2 linked regions of the Rattus norvegicus genome follow. The protein of the gene in region 1 purifies or fractionates together with the protein of each later gene. This does not show direct contact. Links are inferred from orthologs where the notes say so. Each region holds a gene or a part of one and is shown in the gene's direction. Other genes may lie near its edges.

Region 1 (2,775 bases):
CCATATTAGGATGATTCTGTGTATTCTATCCTAATGAGTAATTATTTTATACTTCTGAGCCTTAAATAAGTACTCTCCTTACTAGCACCATGCTGAAAATATTAAATGCTTTATGCAATAATGGATAAAAAGTATGTTTATAGCAAATTATTATAGTCTATTTCTTAGAAGTTACTTCTTATTTTTATTTCTATCTAGCCCTAGCATAATTAAGAGGAAATTGAGATATTAGGACAGCTTTAAAAAGTCTCTTCAGGCGGGTGTGATGGCACACAGCTTTAATCGTAGCTCTTGGGAGACTGAGGCAGGCCGATCTCTAGAGGACACAGTAGTCTACATACTGAGTTCCAGGACAGCTAGGGCTATGTAGAAGACACTCTGTCTTTAAAAGAAGAAAGGAAGAAAAATCTTGAAACCATGGGAAGGAGAACCAGGCAAATCCCCGAGTTTCAGGCCCTCCAGGGCTACATGGTAAGAACCTATCTCTTCTTAGCACGTGTCACTGTGGCACATATCTGTAATCCTGGCACTCAGGACACAGGGGCAGGAGAACCTTGTCAAATGGAGGCCATCCTTGATGCTAGATAGGACTATGCATGTCTGTAATCCCAGCATTTGGAACACGGAGACAGGAAAATCAAGGATCCGCTCTGATCACACTTGGTTGATACCAGACTGGACTGTATGAAACTGTCTGAGAGCAACAAAAGTGAGCAAACGCACGCTAGAGTGAGCAGTTCGCTAGGTGTAGTGCGCATTCCTACATCATAGCACTCAAAGGCTACGGCAGGAGGATTGCAAAGTCTATGCCCAGTTAGGCCATGTTCCCTGCCCAATAGCAAAAAGTACATTTCTATGGATTGGTCTTTAAAATGTTAACGTATTTCACATTCTTAACTGATATAGGACCTCGGCCTCACTACTGTCTGGGAAGACCAGCTCTCCTATCTTTTATCACCAGCTTTGGCTTCATATGAATTTGAGCGAACGACAAGCATATCTGCAGGCAACGAAGAATTCCAGGATGCCATAAGGAGGGCTGTACCTGATGGCCACACATTTAAAGGGTTCCCCATACATTTTGTGTACAGAAATGCAAGGCGTGCATTTGCCACTTGTCTTCGGTAAGGATTCTGTTAATTCATAATTTAAAAATTTGTTAATTCATAGATATTTTTGTGCTAAGAATTTAGAAAGCAATTAATCTGCTAATTGCTAGTTGTGACAACATATATGCATGGGAGCTTCTAGAGTGACTTTGTCCTTAAATGTTTTTTCTTTTTAAATAGGTCTCCTTTTTGTGAAGAAATAATCTGTTGCCGTGGAGACCAGGTGCGACTGGCAGTTCGTGTTCGAGTGTTTACCTACCCTGAGTCTGCGTGTGCTGTTTGGATCATGTTTGCTTGTAAATATCGCTCGGTATTATAGGACTAACATTTCCTAAGAATTATTCCTGGGTTTTATTAGAATTGTATATGGATAGCTGTGTGAAGGTTTCTTAATTTAAAATCAGCCTTTTGGATGTCATTGTTTTGTATAGATCTGACTGGTAACGTTTTAAAATATCATGTATGTACTTAAAAATTAAGGATAAAAATTTGTACTGAATTTAGTAGAATTAAGGGTATGATAATAAATGGTACTTTGTTTTGAGGGACTCAGTAGTTTAAATGTGAATGTAAGATCTGCTACTTCATATTAATAAGTAAGTAAAGGGATTTGTCTAATGGTTTAAGCCATAGCTAAATCGAAATGGTCATTATTTTTCATAAATGAAAGATTATTTTACACGAATTGGGAGAAATTAACCTCATAATAGTTTATTTATTACATAGATGAAGATATATTTTGCTAAATTAATCATTTTTGTGTGGTACTAGGGGTATATGAGGCTTCCCAGAAATCTGTGAAGACTTTTATGTAAGAAAAAAGCTAGGTGTGGTGGCACACACTTTTAATTCCACAAGAGGCCAGCCTGGTCTACATAGCAAGTGTCAGGGCTATACAGTGAGAACCAGACTCCAAAACACAAACAACGACGACAAAAGGAATGTGGTAACCAAAATGCTGAATGTTAATAACAAATCGCACATGGATATGGACTATGAATAATTTATGGATATTTCTAAAATCCATTGAGCACTTTAGAAAGTGACTTATTACATGTCATTGTCACGATACTGGCTGCTCTTTAGTTTTTGTTGTGACAAAAGCATCAGCCTGTTGCCAGGCTGTGGTGGTGCAGACCCTTACTTCCAGCACTAGGGAGGCAGAAACAGGCAGATCTCTGTGAGGTCAAGGCCAGCCTTGTCAGTAGAGCTAGCTCCCGGACAGCCAGGGCTACACAGAGAACCCGGCCTCACAAAACAAACAAAAAACCCAAGAAAGAGACCGACCAGCCTACATGTGATTAGTGTCGTGGGAAAAATCATAAGAGGCTATGGAGAAAATGTGAACTTATATTTTTAAATCGAGGAAAGTTTAAACATTTTAAGAGGGCAAAAGTAAGTATTAAAAACTAAAGGAATTCGACTTGTAGCTAGTGATGGCTGTTGTGACTGTCTGCTCTGCATTTCTGTGCAGAGGGTTGTTTTGTTTTGGTGATAGTAGGAATTAGATCAAGGGCTTCCTCCATGCTCGGCAAACACAACCTCTGAGCTGCACCCACAGCGTCTCAACTGTGTAGCTCCGGCTGGCCCTGGCTGGCCCCGGCTGGCCCAGGACTCACAGAAATTTGCTTGTCTCTGTGTGCAGTCCTTACTTTGGTTGCTTTAT
Region 2 (2,558 bases), on another chromosome or scaffold:
TGCAGCTAGACAAGCACTATGCCACCAGAGCTACACCCTAGCTCTGTATTACTTTCTTGCTTGGGATTAAAAAAAGGATTTATGTGTGTGGGTGTTTTGCCTTGTGTATATATGTGACCTGTATGTGTACAGTGCCCTTGGGGCCAGAAGTGGGTGTGGAAACCTTGGACCTGGAGGTTCTGATCTGCTGCATGGATGTCAGGATCTGCACGCTGGTCCAGAATAGCTTGTGTTCTTAACTACTGAGTCTTTTTCCACCCTTGCATGCCTTTTTTTTTTTTTTTTTTTTTTTTTTTGGCTGTTTTTTTTTCCTGTTGTTGTTGTTGTTGTTGTTATTGTTGCTTGTTTTGTTTGTTCTGTGAGACAGGGTTTCTGTGTAGCCGTGGCTGTCCTGGACCTCACAAATATCTGCCTGCTTCTGCCTCCCAAGTGATGGGATTAAAGCATGCGCCACCACCGCTCAACTTGCAATTCTTATAGTAAAAATTGGAAATTATTTTTATAAGATATGAAGGGTCATATTGTCAAGAACTTGGGATACTTTTAGTCATTTTAGAAAGTTATAAATAGGGGTTGGGGATTTAGCTCAGTGGTAGAGTGCTTGCCTAGCAAGCGCAAGGCCCTGGGTTCGGTCCTCAGCTCCGGAAAAAAAAAAAAAAAGAAAGTTATAAATAGCACATTTTAAAATAATTGGAAATTCTATGTCTGCATCTGTTTCTAAAATAGATTGATTTTTAGAAGATCCACTTAGATTCAGAGGCGCTAATTGACCCTTACCATCTTAGATGTCGGTCTATATTTTGCACATCATCGAGCCCTTAGTGAGAAAGATGCTGTCTTGCTTCTCCAGTGAAGCAGGAGAACGCTGTGGCCTTCTTTGTGCCGTGGATTGCCCTTTGCTACCAAAGACACAAAACTCTGCCCTGAGAAGAGGTTAGGGGAGTAATGAATGCAGGCAACTGCGTGGCTTCTGCGGGGGAAGGTCCGGACGTTTAAGAGAGACGGGATGTGTACTTTATAGTAAAACTGTGTCTCCTGGTTTACAGGTAAGGGCTCTACAGGCTTGGCAGCAGACAGTGGAACAGCGTCTAGTTTCCTGGCATTCTGATGTGCCTCCTATATCAAGTACTCTGGTGTCACCCAAGCCTCCGTTACTTCCACAACATCAGGACCCCTCTTCCGATCAGAATTCGGATTGGCTCATTATTGAGGATGACGCTCCTCAAGAGAAATCAGTGCCGGACTTTCCCGACTCTGGTTTTCACTCCTCCCTGACAGAACAAGTTCACTGTTTGCAGGATTCTTTGGATTTTGAAAAAAGTTCGGTAGAAAGCAGCGAAAACTCCGCGTTGGGGAATTCCGCTGACACAGTGAAATACGTCAAAGACCCAGACTCAGAGGCCACAGCTGAGGAGCACAGTGACTGCAGTAAGGAAAGCTCCACCAGTGAGCAGGATAACACCCTGCTGCAGCAGTATTTAGCTTCAGTCCAGCAGCTGGATGACGCGGATGACAGGGCAGGTCCCGACGATATGGCGGGAGACAATAAGCGTCTCCTAGCTTGTTCTCCGGAAAGGTTGGGTGCCTCTGACAGTGAGGCTCATAGAGCATCTCCTACTTTACAGGAGGAAATTAGCCAGACACCAGAGAATTGTAAGTTAAACGAGGAAGTCCAAGGGCAGCCTCCAGAATGTGACACTGCATTTCAGGTGCTGCAAGTGGGTGTCACTGTGTAGCCTGTCTGATTAACTGGGAAGCAGAAATTCCCTTTGATTTTCTGTTTTCACTTTCTTTTTGCAGGGGAGCAACCCTGTACCCCATTTTGTTATTCTTTAGCTACAACTTGTATTCTTGTCCCACAGTTTTTAGATATTAGCTGTTGAACTACGTATTCATTTTTGTTGTACTACTGTACTAAACAAAATATTAAAAGGAATATGCACTTTATCTCTCAATAGTTACACTAATAATGTTTCCTTTACATCTGTACTGCCTTTCAGAAGCCGTTTCTTGAAGTAGCTTGGTTATTTGAATAGGAGAACTTAGTTCTTCCTAACTACATAGTAAGGGATATAATACGTAAGACATGACTAGGATGAGGGCTATGGACAACTGGGCAGTCTCCTTGGACTAAAACCATGGTTTTTTCACCCTCTGAGTTAAGGAAAGCCTCTGTGTGTGTGTGTGTGTGTGTGTGTGTGTGTGTGTGTGTGTGTGTGTCTTGTGTGTATGTGTATGTGTGTGTGTGTTGTGTGTGTGTCTTGTGTGTATGTGTGTTGTGTGTGTATGTTGTGTGTGTGTCTTGTGTGTGTGTGTTTGTGTGTGTGTGTTTGTGTGTGTGTCTCTGTGTGTGTGTTGTGTTGTATGTTGTGTGTGTCTGTGTGTTGTGTGTGTGTCTTGTGTGTATGTATGTGTGTGTCTGTGTGTGTGTCTGTGTGTTGTGTGTGTGTCTGTGTGTTGTGTGTGTTGTGTGTGTGTGTTGTGTGTGTGTGTGTTGTGTGTATGTGTGTGTGTGTCTTGTGTGTGTGTGTTGTGTGTGTGTGTTGTGTGTGTTGTGT

What was found.
Region 2: the proteins of Cep76 (region 1) and Cep97 purify together in Homo sapiens (co-immunoprecipitation; 4 studies listed by BioGRID and IntAct, with this or other methods). This does not show direct contact. The link is inferred for Rattus norvegicus from reciprocal best matches to the Homo sapiens genes CEP76 and CEP97.

The regions. Positions count from the first base shown.
Region 1 is NC_086036.1:63,449,212-63,451,986, reverse strand, and holds the end of Cep76 (centrosomal protein of 76 kDa), read left to right. Parts: intron 1-906; coding exon 907-1,124; intron 1,125-1,289; coding exon 1,290-1,428; 3' UTR 1,429-2,011; downstream 2,012-2,775. UniProt on the Homo sapiens protein: Centrosomal protein involved in regulation of centriole duplication. Required to limit centriole duplication to once per cell cycle by preventing centriole reduplication.
Region 2 is NC_086029.1:58,178,570-58,181,127, forward strand, and holds the end of Cep97 (centrosomal protein of 97 kDa), read left to right. Parts: intron 1-1,046; coding exon 1,047-1,736; 3' UTR 1,737-1,954; downstream 1,955-2,558. UniProt on the Homo sapiens protein: Acts as a key negative regulator of ciliogenesis in collaboration with CCP110 by capping the mother centriole thereby preventing cilia formation. Required for recruitment of CCP110 to the centrosome.